Alligator mississippiensis: one gene and its partner. The main gene of each other region encodes a partner of the protein of the gene in region 2 in a complex. Links are inferred from orthologs where the notes say so. Each region holds a gene or a part of one and is shown on either strand. Other genes may lie near its edges.

The links. The genes of interacting proteins can lie anywhere in the genome.
Region 1: the proteins of RAN (region 2) and RANGAP1 are in contact, whole or in part, in a cryo-EM structure (PDB 9B62), measured with the Homo sapiens proteins. The link is inferred for Alligator mississippiensis from reciprocal best matches to the Homo sapiens genes RAN and RANGAP1. Residues at the interface, in NP_006316.1 of Homo sapiens: Asp18, Gly20, Tyr39, Val40, Ala41, Thr42, Leu43, Gly44, Val45, Glu46, Glu70, Lys71, Leu75, Arg76, Tyr79, Asp91, Thr93, Ser94, Arg95, Val96, Thr97, Asn100, Lys123, Asp128, Arg129, Lys130, Lys132, Lys134; in NP_001265580.1 of Homo sapiens: Ser29, Gly58, Asn59, Thr60, Asp86, Thr89, Gly90, Arg91, Leu92, Arg93, Ile96, Asp121, Ala123, Phe124, Gly125, Asp127, Asn151, Cys152, Gly153, Met154, Gly155, Arg189, Asn190, Arg191, Gln217, Asn244, Asp245, Asn246, Thr247, Asp273.

Annotation. Positions count from the first base shown.
Region 1 is NC_081827.1:97,402,948-97,410,544, forward strand, and holds the start of RANGAP1 (ran GTPase-activating protein 1), read left to right. Parts: upstream 1-4,582; 5' UTR 4,583-4,691; intron 4,692-7,181; 5' UTR 7,182-7,232; coding exon 7,233-7,344; intron 7,345-7,597. UniProt on the Homo sapiens protein: GTPase activator for RAN. Converts cytoplasmic GTP-bound RAN to GDP-bound RAN, which is essential for RAN-mediated nuclear import and export. Mediates dissociation of cargo from nuclear export complexes containing XPO1, RAN and RANBP2 after nuclear export.
Region 2 is NC_081833.1:9,574,739-9,582,653, reverse strand, and holds the start of RAN (GTP-binding nuclear protein Ran), read right to left. Parts: upstream 3,003-7,915; 5' UTR 2,877-3,002; intron 2,564-2,876; 5' UTR 2,557-2,563; coding exon 2,521-2,556; intron 492-2,520; coding exon 407-491; intron 315-406; coding exon 189-314; intron 1-188. UniProt on the Homo sapiens protein: GTPase involved in nucleocytoplasmic transport, participating both to the import and the export from the nucleus of proteins and RNAs. Switches between a cytoplasmic GDP- and a nuclear GTP-bound state by nucleotide exchange and GTP hydrolysis.

The sequences.
Region 1 (7,597 bases), on a different chromosome or scaffold from region 2:
TATGCCTGTCTGGACCTGATGGCAGCTGGTCTGGTTTGGGACCATGCAATTGAACAGTTCATGATCATTGCCCGGATGGGTTCTAATCTGGGAACTGATGTTTCAAATACAGGATAAGAGTTCCATTCCAGGAATAGGACAGCCCCAGAATTTGGGACTGTCCTGGAAATTCTGGGACTGTCAGTTGATTTATCTAGTGTGGACTCAGTCATGTGGTGCAAAGGTGCCTTAAAGGGTTATAGCTATATAGGGAAAAGCATTTTTTTTCTATCTGTTTCATGACTTTTAGAAACAGCTGCAATCCAGTTGGTACCCCTGAGTTTTCCATCACCTATCAGGGAAACCCCTCTTATTCACCTCAAGTTAGTTCTTATTCAGACTTTCCATGTGGACAGTGCTTCTTTTATTCTGGATATTTTATTCATTAAAAAGGCTTAATTGTTTCTTCTGTTTAGCCAGAATGAAGGGTGTCTGACATACTTATCTATATCAGTGACTCTGTGATTGTTCATAGATTGAAGACATGCTTGCCGCTAGCCACCAATGCTTTTCCAGCATATCATTGCTGATATAAAAAAAAAATCATGCCTTTAAACCCAGATAAGTAAACCAGTAAAAGCCTGATCTTATGTTGCCCTGCTCAGGCATAATATGTGTAGCTTTCAGGAGCATAGTAAATTGTCACAGCATTGTCTAATCTTGCTGTTATTATCTTGAGTCATGTAAAAAAATTTTTTTTTTCTTAAAGCCTCTATTTGTGAAGTTATTCAAGAGTAAATGTGAGGAATGTTCCCATTATATGTTAGGGTTAAAGAGCAGAACAAATCCAACCAACCCATTAGCAATCTCTGTGCCTAACAACTGGGTTCATTGTACAGTTTGCTGCAGTTGTCATTTGAAATAAAACCCATGTCAGTGTCTGTGGGTAGCAGCCAAAAAAGATCATCCCTACTGGAACAAGTTGAGGAGAGCTGTGCCAAGTGTATTTTACCAGGAACTACACTGTTGCATAGTTTATACTTGTGTAGCAGACACTGCTTTTCTATTGTAAAAAAAATAACACAGATATACAAAAGTCAGAGTTGGAAAACAAAGTTTAAATGTGACAGAAATTCTACCAGTTCTCTGGATGCCCATTTTTCCTGTCATGCAAGCATGACAGCAAAATATTAAATGAATTATTTTTTTTCCAAATACAGAGATCTGTAGAGAGATCTGATTTACGATTTACTGAAAAAATGTTGAGTAATGGATCACTTTCTTCAGGGAACGCTACATACCGGAGGAGCTTGTCTACTCTGTCATATTAATTCATCATGAGATATTTATGTATATTACATTGTAATGATTTTGAAAGATCATTGCCTAATATAAAAAATATTATCACTATTGACTTGAATTATGATGACATTTGTGAACATGACCTGGAGACCAATTAATATCTTGCTAGCCCTACTGCTTGTGACACAGCCACCCCTGCCAGCTGCCTATCCTCTCCAGTGCCCCAGCCCTCCCTGCTGTGTAATGAGGGCTGTTCTCAAGCTCACTTACTGCAGCTTCTGCTTACCCTCCTCATTGAGTGCTGTAGATTCCTGTCACCAGTGGCAGTGGGGAGTGTCAAATTTGGCAGCAAAGGTAAATGGAAGGTGTAGTAGGCACAAAGCAGCCATCAGTACAAACCAGGGAGGGCTGAGATGGCATCAGGTAGGGCATTGAAGAGGGGATCAGTGCCACATAGCAGAGAAATTCATGACAGAGTGGGAAAGGTGCTCTCCACTGCAGGCCAGATCCAGTCTCTTTGCAGGCTGAATCTGGCCTGCAGGTTGAATGTTGCCAAGCCTGAATTGAGAAAATTTAAATGAAACTAAGAAATAGCAAATAAAAAGTGGCAACTGTGCAGTCACTAGAGTTGTATGGATCAGGTTTGCAATTCTGCTCCTGTTATTGTCTCCAACCTTCTGCACAAACAAATTAGATCAGGCATCAACATTCCCATCTCTCCTTCAACAGTTTATATAAATCATTGCACTGACTCCTATGGCTTGCCTATGGGGGAAAGGCAGCATGAAATAAGAGAGTTGTATTAGTCTGGAGATAGGCAGAAGGCAGGGGAACGCAACACCTTAGAAACAAACTTGTTCTGAGAGGCACAAGCCTTAATAAGCAACTCCCTCCTACATCGGATGCAGATTAAGTAGGCTGTCATCTATGAAAGTTCATGCCTCTTTGACCCAGTTAGTCTCTAAAGTGCTGCCCTGCCCCACCTTCTTCAGAAATAAACTCAGGTTTAATTTTAAAGCGTACGAGCTGTTCCACTCCAACCCCCTGCGTTGGATGGTCTTGTTCCATGTATATATAACCTACCTTATGTTCTGCATGTTTGGCTATGGCTATGTTCTATAACAGTAAGTTTGTGTATTCTTTAATTGCATACCCTCATTAGTATGCATGTGTGGACTTCTGAGGGCTATTTGCACCTGTTGGTGGGGCAATTGTCAAGGGCAGGTGGATCAGATTTTGTGTCCACGGGCCTTCTACAACTGTGAAGTTTGTAGGCACACACGTTGCTAATGTAAAGTTACACAAAGGCCACTGAAGGGACAGCACTCACTGGGACCTCTGCAAAGCTCTGCAGTGGGCCGGTTCTCAGTTTGAGTAATGTGTGTGTATATTTGTGTGTGAAAAGTGAATGAGATTCCAGGTAGGTGTTACTCCCTGGCTGATGTTGTGGTTCATCAAGTCTTTAAGGGAAAGGGCTTCTAAACACAAGTCCTTATAGCAGGTTCAAGCAAAAACCTTATACTCTTTATAGTTGTAAGAGCTGAAAATCCCCAAGCCTTCTGTAGCAGTACAACAGGGTCTGAAAAAAGCTGAGGTTGCATAGGTGACCCAAAGAGCCCCAGCAAAGAAGTGGTGATTCCTAGCAATAAAAGCCATCTCTTGGTGGTAACAATGGAGTGGGGGCATCTCCTGGAGACAGCAACCCAGAGTAGTAATCCCTAGAACAGGGTTGGGCAAAATGTGGCCCTCTAGGCCATTCTAGCCGGCCCGCAGGGCCCCTAAAAATGTAGAAAATTAATATTTATCTGTCCCTGGCTTACCAAAACTCAGTAAGTCACCCTCTGCCCGAAATAATTGCCTACCCCTGCCCTAGAAGCACTTGCCTGGGCCAGAGCAGTGATCCCAGGCAGTAACTCTGATGAGGTCCTTCTTACACAGCACTTCCTGCTTTGGCCGGCATAGGTGGCAGAGCCCCATAAACCAGATTAGCAAGCCCTGGCAGCAAGGAATAGCAGGCAGATCCAGGGCAGGTACAATTGTACCCTCTTTGATTCCTGCTGCACCCAAAATCTAGGTAAAAACCTTAACTCAGGTATGGTAATATTAACTCAGGTGTAGAAATGACTGATAGTGAAGACACTGGCAAGCCACTCACAGAAGCTAGTTTTAGTTTATAAATCCACATTGCTTGTGCAGATTCAACTGTGATGGCTGCAAGACTAATGACAGTATCTTTGGACTCCTACTTGCCTAGTTGCTTGTTTTTAAAAACTCGATATAAACTCTAGCAAATTAGTGCACATTCCAATAGCTGTAGTTGTTTCTGCTTTGAGCTTAAACTGAAAAATAAAGTGCTATCCCCCCCCCAGCATAGTCAAACTTCTATTTTCTCCAGTTAAGGAGAAACATGTGCATTGCATTGTGTGTGATGATGACACATCACATCACCTGTCCTGTCCTGTACCCAAAATCTACAGCAGGGCCTCCAAGGTGCACCTTCTTATTGCTAGGTTGGCTGGTATAGTGGTAGAGCTCCTGAGGGAGGATGACTGCTGGTAGCTCCCTTGAGTTTTTCTGCCAGTGACTAGGGTGTCTCTTAGAGACTCATTCCAAGAGGCACAAGCTTTTGGAGGCTCCTTTATTGGATGCAGATGGGAACTGCTTTGGTTCTGGTTAAGGTTCTCTTTAATGTGCAGTGCTAGGGGAGCTCCGGTTGGGTATACAACCTTGCTGTTACACCCCTAAATTTGCATCCGGGCCCTTGCTCTCCCAGGGCCTGGCAAAACGTCAGCCACCCTTAGCATAACCCATTATGGGGGAACAAGGGCTATCCCCTCCAGCAATAGGCCCTTGCACACACAAGCCCGCCCCAGGTAGCCAACAGTGCTGGAAGCTCTACAGCACAACACTCAGGAACTTGCACCACTGCATCTGCTCGAGGGAGCAAAAGGGAGGAAAGGTTCTGGAATCTCGAGGCACCACCCCCAGTGCGCACGCAGTCAGCCCAAGACCACGTGATCCAGATTCGGCCAAGAAGCGTTAGCCGTGCGCAAGGCATGGCGGGATTCTCGGCCTGTTCACTCCTCGCTCTCCGAGCCAAAGAAGCCTAGTCCTACCAGGGCGCTAGAACTACCCTTCCCAGCCTGCCTCGCGACAGGGCGGCCCGCGCGCTACCTCACGGGATTCGTAGTCCGCCCCAGCTAAACGACAACTCCCAGCATGCGGCAGGGGGGTGGGGGAGAACAGGGTGTGGAGCGCGGCGCGCCTGCGCCACGAGGAGCCCCGGGAGCCAATCAGAAAGCGGGAAACAAAACTGCCGGGTTTCAAATCCTCCGCCTCCCTTTTCGCCATCATCTGCGGCGGCGGTGGTGTGACGGGTCGGAGCCGGGTGGCCCCCACGCGTGGTGGAGGTGAGCCCCAGCGCGCCCATTCGGGGGTCCCCCGCGGGGGGGCTGTCCCTTGCCGACGGCTCGATTCCCTTCTCCCCGCCCCAGTGTGCGGGAGGGTTTCCTCTCCCCCCCCACCCCGCGCGTCACCTGCAGTGCCCCGCCCCCCCCCCCCCCCCCCGTGAGTCATGCCAGCCGTGCGCTGGGGCTGTTGCGTCACAGCCCCCCCCGCCTGGGGGGAGGGCAGCAGCGTGGGACCCCCCTGTGGGGCTCTGGAGCAGCCACAGTTCTTGGGAGCCCTTTAGGGGCGGAGGAGCCCGAGGGTGGGGGAGGTCCCTGGGGCATACGTCTCCAAGGAGGGGTGTGGGAGGGGAGGAGGGGCCCTGCCCCGATGAGGGGAAGGAGCAGGGAGCCCAGGCTGCGGGGTGCGAGGCTCTAGAGTAGCACTTCTGACCCTGGGGGCGGGCACGGCCTGCCCTCTATACCCCCAGGTGCCTTGAGGCCCTTCCGAGAGGGCGGCAGGGTGGCACGTAGCACTGGGTGCTGCAGAGTGATCTGCAATATAAAGCCTGGCATTGTGGCCTTTCTGCGTTCCCTGAAGCACAGCTGCTGCTCCTGTTTCTTCTGGCCTCAGAAAAGCAAAAATGAGGATCTGGCCCTTCCCAAGAGAAGCCCCATGTCTAGCCAGGGGAGCCTCAAGCAATGAGTGAAGGCGAAGAGCTGGCTCAAGGCATCCCTAGAAAATCGTCAGTTATTCGCCTTCACTCGTTTCTTGCCCCCATGGCAAAATAATAAAGCAGTTCTTCTGAAAGACCCCAGCATGTCAGAGTGGTTTTGACACTGGGTTCCTAGTTAAAATCTCTTGGTTTTTCTTTCGGATCACATGCTATTGTTTGATCTGCTTCTGGACTGGCAGAGGTTGGAAGAATTTGGTGGCAGAGCGTCTGGGTGGCCTGGTGTAGGAGTGAAGTGTTTTGGGCCATCTCTATGCCTGCAGCAGCAACAGAAATAGCAGACATCACAAACAAAAGCAACAGCAATCAGAACATAGCAGCATAGCAAAGCATAAACAAACAGCACAAAAGCACAGCAGCTTAGCAGCAGCAAAAAAACAATAGCAGCAATACTACAGCACAAACAGAAATCCACAGCAACTAGAAACAGTGGCCATCTCTATGAGCACTAGCATGAGTGGCATGAGTCTGAAGGATCCATGTCCTAGTTTTTTTTGGTGTTGATAAAACATTGGGATGGAAACTGAGCAAATCCCATGGCACCAGCTTCCTTTTTCCCATCTCTAGGTCCAGAGGGAGTATTAAAATACATGAATGCTGGTGAAAGGTACTGGCTTCAGTGTTGGGGTGAACACTTTTTCGTAGCACCATGGAAGGTTGGTGGTGGGGAGAGGAAGAGGATGTGTCAAACTCAAGTTGGGGAGTTTGGCCCAATTTTGAAAGTCTGTGTTGGGGAAGAGGCTTTAAGGAGACAAAAACTTGTGTGCATATGAAAATCTAGGCTGGGTAGGAACTGACTGGAGATGTTAATTTTTCTAGTTGTTAGAGTAAGCTTTTATCCCTGTCAGCCTGTTTGAAACCTGATTTATGGTGCAAGAGATGAATAAATGACACTTATCTAATCTCCAGATTACCGACTGAAAATGCAGCATAACTGCTGCTTAAGGTGGTAGCCTTATTATTGCACAGATTGGGCTGAGCCCTTCCATTACATAAGAGTTAACATCCTTACTATCTGGGGGTTGTTTATGTCAGTATCACTCTTAACTTGTTTCTATGTCACCTGTTTTTAAACTAGTATTCTTATTTCCTTACTAGGCTCTTCCATAGAGGGCTATTTCCCCCCCCCCCCCCCCCCCCCCCCCCCCCCCTTCAACATCACTGGTGGTAAAGAAAATTCTGCCACTTAGGAGGGGCCCTTCAAAAATCCTGAGGTGCCTTTGTACCCAGCTTCACTGTTGCCTTTTTAGTAGCAGTTGAGTAACAGTCTAATTCCAGAAAGGTGCTGATGTGAGTACTAGCAGGGATGAGGGATGTAACTGGAAAGAAAATGTATCCATGTTCATTCTAGCTTAGTTTAAAGAGAAAATAAACATGATGGACTGATCATGGTTACTAATAAATATTAAAGGATATGGCTATAGGGAGAAAGCAGTAATCCCTTTCTCATTCTGAAAGAGTGCTCTCAAGAATAGAGTGGTGTCTTAATGGGATCTTATTAAGATCAGTCCCAGTTCAGTCTTATTTATGGAACTTGATGACTCCATTACAGTCTAAACTTTAAGTCTAAACTCTTCTCTGCAGAGTTGAATTTTCAACAGCATCTGACAAATGTCTTTCAAAACCTGACAGCAAGACTTAGATTAGTGTTTCATGCCAAAAAAGTGGAGGGATAGGGGCAATGCTATTTTGAGCTGATATTTGTAATCTAGGGTAAGCTATTTCTTAGAGGTTTAGATGTATGTTTTTTTGTTGTTGTTTTTTTTTTCTTTTTTTTCAGTGATTCCTTTTTAAAACTGGCAGTTCTTGAAGGTTGGTGAAGCACAGAAAAATGGCATCTGAAGACATTACTAAGTTAGCAGAGTCGCTTGCAAAAACCAAGGTGGGCGGAGGGCAGCTGAGCTTCAAGGGCCAGTCTCTGAAACTCAACACCGCAGAAGATGGTAAGAGGAAATGTGCTGTGGAAGTGTTTCTTTGGGCTCCTGCACTACTGTTATCCCAAATCTGTGCTTCATAGTGCACCTCCTTCCAGTAAACCCTGCATAATAGAGCACAAGGGTCAGCCACCTGGGAAACAATAAGCAATTCCCTCCCCTTTTTTTTTCCTGCTAACTGCCTCCAGTTTTGGTACTGGTGCTTCAGCCAAGGGACACTGTCTTTGACTCCCTAGTCTATAGATACTAGAGGTGCACTGAT
Region 2 (7,915 bases):
GGCAAAGTCTGCCTCGAGAAGTCTTGCACTGTTTTGAAGAGCAAGTCAACTTAAATGCCGTTACTATTATGTCACACCAAATGCATAAGCAATGGTCCACTGCACAAGCAACTTTGCAAAGCTGTCAAAGATGACAAAATACCTAGAAGTCTGCTGCAAAGCTAATGAATAGTGTTTGTAAAACTTACCCTGAATATAGTAGCCATCTCGCAGGCCACCAAACTTCTCCTGGCCAGCCGTGTCCCATACATTAAATTTAATAGGCCCTCTGTTAGTGTGAAACACCAGAGGATGGACTTCAACACCCAGTGTTGCTGCAATAAAACATTTCCACTTTAAAAAGCCTGCCAACAGTGTTTTAAACTAAACTAGCACTAGGATTCTCCATGCAAATGTTTAAACATACCTACATACTTCTTTTCAAATTCACCAGTCAAATGACGTTTTACAAATGTTGTTTTGCCGGTACCACCATCACCAACTAAGACAAGCTGTTGAAAGATTTCAAAACACAGATGAAGGCAACACGTTTTAGGAGCTTCCTGTAAACTACTGAGGCATCAGTCAATTTTAGGTAGTTTTTTTAAAATTACAACTCTAGGCCCTACAAGTTGTTCTAGGCAAGGAAGGTTAGTTAGACACTCACTTAAGGAGCTCCCAAATATGGCCTGACTAATATATTTTACTTCTTAGAATGGCTTTAGTGTTGTGTGCTTGTTACATGAAGTCATATTCTAGTCTTAAATTAGGTTCTGCCACTTATGCATTACTAAGTATCCAAGGGTGACTTGGTGGCAGCCTCTAAGTACTGAAGGGTTGTGCATCATGACCTGGGGGGACACCTGTTCACCAGAGCGCTAGGGATGACAAGATCACAAACTCATGCAAGACCGTTTTAGGCTGGACAGAAGGAAAAACTTATTTACTGCCTGAGCCCCCAAGGCCTGGAATAGACTCCCCCCAGGGTGGTACAAGCACCTACTCTGGACTCTTAAGAAATACTTGGATGCTTATATGCTGGGATCCTTTGACCCCAGCTGACTTCCTGCCCCTTGGGCAGGGGGCTGGACCCAATGATCTTGCAAGGTCCCTTTCAGCCCTAATGTCTATGAAACTCCAGATTAAAGGGCAGACAGGTCAGTGACTAGCACTTCCAAACTATTTTTATTAGCCTGAAGAATGCATGTTAGAACAATTTTTTCTTCTCTTAAAAAAAACAAAAACCAAAACAAAACAAAAAAACCCCAGAAATTGGCTGGGTTCGTCAATGTGGGTTAAGCACTGAAATACTGTAGTGCTAGACTGGTCCGTGTCAGCTATTGTATCTTTTGTTTTAGCTTGAATCATGAAAGGCATCAGGATGAGCTCCATTAACAGACTTCTGGCTTCCACGGCACATCTTAAAATTATTCAGGTTAAAAAGGAACGTAAATCAAGACTTGTCCCATGGAAGGCTACAAAAGCCGTGGAGAGCTTAACTCAAATCGAGATTTTTCCATGGCTTTTACAGCCTTCCGCTGGACATCTTAGTTTTAAAGGTTTATGATAAAAAAAAAAAAAAGTGCGCCAAAAAATCATGGCTTGCCCTGTGGAAGGCCACAAAAAGCTATGGAGAAGTCTTGATTTTCCATTCCTTTTCTAACACTGAAGTTAAAAAGATGACTCGTGTCTCGTGGAAAGCTACAAAAGCCATGATCATCTCCATCGTGTTCCTTTTTTTAAGGTGAACCATTAAAATTAAAGGTCTCCATGGCTTTTGTAGCCTTTCACGAGACATCTTTTTAATTGGCTTGTGTTAAAAAAAGGAACGCGATCAAGACGATCGCGGCTCTTGTACCCTTCTACCAAAGATCTTTAAAATTATTCGGGTTAAAAAAACGTCAATCAAGACCCCTCCATGGCTTTTGTAACCTTCCTCTGGACAAGTCTTGATTCATATTCTTTTTTTCAAAACCACAAACCATTAAAGATGCCCCATGGAAAGCCACAAAAAGCCACGGAGATGTTAAACTTTAACTGATTCGCGTTAAAAAAGGAGCGCGATCAAGACTCCTGCGCCGCTTTCCACAGGGCGCCCCGATGTAAAATGAGGAACGTGATCAAGACTCGTCCGGCAGCTCCAGGATGTCCCTCGAAGGCCGCAAATTGAAAGTGGGTTAGAAAAAGAAACACGATCGGGACTCCTCCGTGGCTTTCGCAGCCTCCCAAGGGGCACCTTAATTTAAAATGGGTTAAAGAAAAAAAAGAAACGCGATTGAGACTCCTCCGCGGCTCGCGCGGGACCTCCCGATTTAAACTCCTCCGGGTTACGAGGAGCGCGACGGAGACGTCTACATCCGGCGAGCCAGGAGCGTGAGGAGCACTGCGGCGTCCCCCCGGCCGCGGATGGAAAACGTGAATGAAAACGAAGAGCTAGGAAAAAGAAAAGAGCCGTACCCCTCCCCCTCCGCCCGAAAAGATAAAAAGCTCAGGGAAGAGAGCAGGTGGCCCCGGGCGGGCGGGGGAGAGGCGGCTCCTTACCTTAAACTGCACTTGGGGCTCTCCCTGGGCGGCCATGCTGGGTCTGCGGGAGGGGACGGAAGCGGAGTGAGGCGGCGGGCGATGGAGGCCCGACCGCGTGCGCCGCGCCCGCCCCTTCCGCCGCGCCTGTCCGGCCGGGCCCATTCATCCTCCTCCCGCCCCACAGCCCGGCAATGGCGGCCGCGCCCCCGCGGGCCTCCCGCCACCATGACTGAGCACAGCACAGCCGTGCCGAGCCGAGCCGCCTTCCCTCCCCCTCCCCCACTCCTCCCCCTCACCGCGGCGCAGGCCGCACTAGGCCCCGCCGCAGCCCCATCCGCGCTCCCGCCCGCCCGCCGCAGGGGGTCGGCCGTTACCTTGCCGAGGCGTCTGTCCGCGGCGCTGGGCTCCGTGACTGGACGCAGGGAAGAAGATGGCGGAAGCGCGATTCAAATACCCGGAGAGCGACGCGGCGCGGACACAGGGCGGGCGAGGGAGGGGCCGCGCTCACGTGACCGGCGCCCGCCCCGCGCATGCGCCGCGCGCCCAGCCCAACCGCCGCCTGGCGCTCGTTGGTCGCGCCCCGCCCCCTTCTCCCCCTCAGTTTTTCCCGCGCGCGGGGAGCCCGCCGTGAAGCCCCCTCAGGGCGGCGGGGTGGGAGAGTACAATCAGTAAAAAGAACTGGATCCTTTCGCCCTCTTATTTCGGCGGGCTCCTCAGACCCCCCCAGTCGTCTCCTCTCATGGCCTCCCTCCTTGTCCTTCAAGATGCTCCTTCAGTCCGTTGTGGTTGTGCCCCCCGTGCTCGTTTGATTTCCCTCCGTTGGGGAAGGGGGGCACGAAGCAATGCAATCGATAGGAGATGTCGCACAACAAGCTAGGGGGGACAGGGCACGAATGACAGGAAACTGAGGGAAAGAGACTGGAAGAATTAGGCTTTGGGTTAGGGGAGGTAAATAAGAGGATGTCAAGGCGTCCGGGTTCGTATGGACAACCGGACGGTCCTCCGCGATGCCACCCTAAACCGAACAGCAGCTCCGTGCGCGGCACCCAGCTTCAAAATGGCTGAAACGGGTTTAAGATTAACCTGGTTGCACGTGGTAACAGATTTAACTGATTCGGGTCAAGTTGGTTTAGGAAACTTTTGTCCCAGAAAACTGAGGGGGGGGGTGCATAACGCCTGCAGGGCACCTAGAGGGGGCAGAGAGACGAGCTTTTCTCCTTGACCCGAGGGCAGCGTTTCAACCGGCGGGACGTGAAGGTCACAGGCGACGTGTAGAGGGTGCACAGGGTGCATGTGCACCCCCTGAGATGGGTGGTGCACCCCTGCGATCGGCTGCCGCCACCGCCGCTAGCAGCACCGGTGGGCAGTCGCTGCCCGCCACCGGCAGCGGCGTCTGTAGGCGGTCGTGGATTGCTATTGGCCGCTGCTGGTGGTGTCTGCGGGTGGTCGCTGGCGGCTGGTCCGTGCTTGCCACCCCCACTGACACTGACACTGCCGCGGCTGCCTGCAGGAGCTCCCTGTGACCGCTGCCCATGTGTAGGTGGGACTTTTCTCAACAAAATTATTGCAATTTTTAATGTCCCTAAAGTGCGTGTAGACGTAAAAATACACTTCTTGGGGAAAAAAAGTGGGGTTTTGTTTTTATCGCGGTGGGACCAGGGTTTTTTGACAAAGTGGTTGGTGGGACGTAAGGTGCAAAATGTTGAGAGCTGCTGCCCTAGGGGACAGGACTGGGAGCAACGCCTCGAAATGCAGCAGGGAAAATGTACAGATTAGTCGGGATTTTCTGGCACTGTGGGTGGCCAAGCACTGGCACAGGCTGCCGAGAGAAATTGTGGCATCTTCATCCTTGGAAGTTTTCAAGGGCAAGTTAGACAGACACTTGGCTGGGATGGTTTAGTCAGGAGTGTTTCTGCTTTGAATAGGAGGCCGGACTAGATGACCTTGTGATGTCCCTTCCAGCCCTACTTTCCTGTGATCCTATGAAGTTTTAAAGTATTTCAGATCCCTTGGGCTGCACAAACATAGTCTGCTACTTCTTATTAACCCTATGATGTTCACTATGTTTAAAATCAAGATCTGAAAAAAGACCTTGCAGTCCGTTGCAGCTTTTGTGTGCTATAAAACTCCACTACGAATGAAAAATATTTCCGTTTTCTTTTGGTAAAATATCACAACTTTACATATTTCTCTTCCCCTGTAATGAGATCATTAAATCAAACCTTTCTTCCGAGAGCTGAGACCATAAAACACATTACTGTAGACTTAAGAGAAGTAGTAGCCCTGTTGGCCTAAAGTCAGGCAGAAGTCAGGGTGGAGATGCACCTTATAAACTAACTGAAGTGTTGCAGCTTTTGACAAGGATACAGATACTTCCAGGAAATATTTTGGTCGATCACTTTATATTGGTTAAAAGCCATTTGTAAGATTCCCCAAATATTGTTCTGAAATAATTAACTGATTTTACTACGGGCATAATAGTCACATTGTAATTAAATAAGCTAGTTAAACTTATTAAATACTTTACAATGCTTTACATATCAAGTGCAGTACTTGATCTTAATTAACAAAATACACAGTAAAAATCACAACTATATTTCTTGGAATAATAAACTGAAAAAAGTAAATGCGACTTCATCCAATCATACAGGTTGAGAGGTAGAGAACACGCAAGACTTGCTGACGAACAGGAAGGGATGTTGTAGCGCGGATTCTAAGGAGCCCCTTTGTCAATGAATAGGAACATAACGTTTCTCCTCATGGATCAGACCTGAGGTTCATCTAGTCTAAAAGGGGCCAATTCCAGACGTCTCAAAGGAATGTATAAAACGATTTTACTGAAAACCCTGGAGGACAGCTGCAGGATAATCTGCCCTTCACATATGAGGTTTCATCCTCTAATATTGATTTAAATCTTAAGGCATAAACATCCCTTCCAAAGTACTTATTATAATTAACTAGCCAATTGCCCATCAAGAATGATGGGGGGGTGGGGCTGGGATGGAGCGCCCTCACCTAACGACCCATGCTGCCACTCTTCTGCGACTTGCAGGGAGCAGGGTGGGAGAGCCAAGGCCAATGCTGTTGCCCTCAGCTCCCCCACCCTCTGTCCAATCCTCGGCATGGCTTTGAAATCATGACAACGCTCCCCCACACTTGGAGCACTCTGATTGGCTGTTTCCATCAGCCAATGCTCCAGGACCATGGTTGTCATGGGTGACTTCAATTACCCAGACATCTCGTGGGAGGATCGCTCAGCAAAATCTGAGCAGTCGCAAAGCTTCCTCTCATGGATGACCTCTACCTGACTCAAGAAGTCTATGGGCCAACGAGAGGCAAAGCGCTGCTCGACCTGGTACTGGCTACTGGGGATGACCTAGTCGGCGACCTAGTGATCGATGGGAAGCTGGGTGACAGCAACCACGAGCTGATCACCTTCACCATCCGTCAAAAAGCTGGCAAGTCAGTCAGCAACACGGAAGTCCTTGACTTCAGGAAGGCCGACTTTGACAAGCTCAGGAGGCTTGCCAGTGAGGCCCTAAGGGACCGTGACCACAGGGAGAGGGGAGTTCAAGAAGAGTGGTTGCTTCTCAAGGGAGCGATCCTCAATGCACAAACTAAGTCTATTCCATCTCGGAGGAAAGGCAGCAAGAGGGCACAGCAGCCCCCCTGGCTCTCCAGGGACCTGGCAGACCTCCTGAGGCTAAAAAGAAAGGCCTACAAAGGATGGAGGATGGGAGTCACCTGCAAGGAGGATTATTCTGCACTGGTCCGGTCCTGCAGGGAGCATACCAGGAAAGCCAAGGCTGCAACTGAACTCCAACTAGCTTCGAGCATCAAGGACAATAAAAAGTCCTTTTTCAGATATGTGGGGAGCCGGAGGAAAAGCAGGGGCAACGTTGGACCCCTGCTGAACCAGATGGGGCAACTGACAACTGATGCCCAGGAAAAAGCCAACCTATTAAATGGGTACTTTGCATCGGTCTTTCAACAGTCCCATGGGACGCCCATGCCCGCTACGGGACAGGGAATTCCGGGTGAGGGTGATCCCCTGCCCTCCATTAATGCTGACCTCATGAAGGAACATCTTGAGAAGCTGGATACCTTCAAGTCAGCCGGCCCTGACAATCTACACCCCAGGGTACTCAAGGAGCTGGCGAGCATCATTGCCCAGCCTCTAGCACGGATCTTTGAAAACTCTCGGCGCTCTGGTGTAGTGCCTGAAGACTGGAAAAAGGCCAATGTGGTGCCTATCTTCAAGAAAAGGAGGAAAGTGGATCCGGCAAACTATAGGCCCATCAGCCTGACTTCTATCCCAGGGAAGATCTTAGAAAAGTTTATTAAGGAGGCCATCCTTAATGGACTGGCCGACGCCAACATCTTAAGGGATAGCCAGCATGGGTTTGTCGCGGGTAGGTCTTGCTTGACCAATCTAATTTCCTTCTACGACCAGGTGACCTATCACCTGGACAAGGGAGAAGAGATTGATGTCCTATATCTTGACTTCAAAAAAGCCTTCGATCTGGTATCTCATGATCACCTCTTGGTGAAACTGGCCAATTGTTGCGTTGGGTCCACCACGATCCACTGGCTGGAAATTTGGCTCCGTGTTCAGACCCAGAGGGTAGTAATCGATGGAAGTCACTCATCATGGTGTCCTGTGACCAGTGGGGTCCCCCAAGGCTCTGTCCTTGGACCCATACTATTCCACATCTTCATTAATGATGTGGACACTGGAGTCAGAAGCGGACTGGCCAAGTTCGCCGATGACACCAAACTTTGGGGCAAAGCATCCACACCAGAAGACAGGCGGGTGATCCAGGCTGACCTGGACAGGCTCAGCAAGTGGGCGGACGAGAATCTGATGGTGTTCAACACCGATAAATGCAAGGTTCTCCACCTTGGGAAGAAAAACCCGCAGCATCCTTATAGGCTTGGCAGTGCTACGCTGGCTAGCACTATGGAAGAAAGAGACTTGGGGGTCATCATTGACCACAAGATGAACATGAGCCTGCAGTGCAATGCTGCAGCTAGTAAAGTGACCAAAACGCTGGCTTGCATCCATAGATGCTTCTCAAGCAAATCCCGGGACGTCATTCTCCCCTTGTACTCGGCCTTGGTGAGGCCGCAGCTGGAGTACTGCATCCACACAGTTTTGGGCTCCACAATTCAAAAAGGATGTGGAGAAGCTTGAGAGAGTCCAGAGAAGAGCCACGCGCATGATCAGAGGTCAGGGAAGCAGACCCTACGATGACAGGCTGAGAGCCCTGGGGCTCTTTAGCCTGGAAAAGCGCAGGCTCAGGGGTGATCAGATGGCCACCTACAAGTTTATCAGGGGTGACCACCAGTATCTGGGGGAACGTTTGTTCACCAGAGCGCCCCAAGAGATGATGAGGTTGAATGGTCACAAACT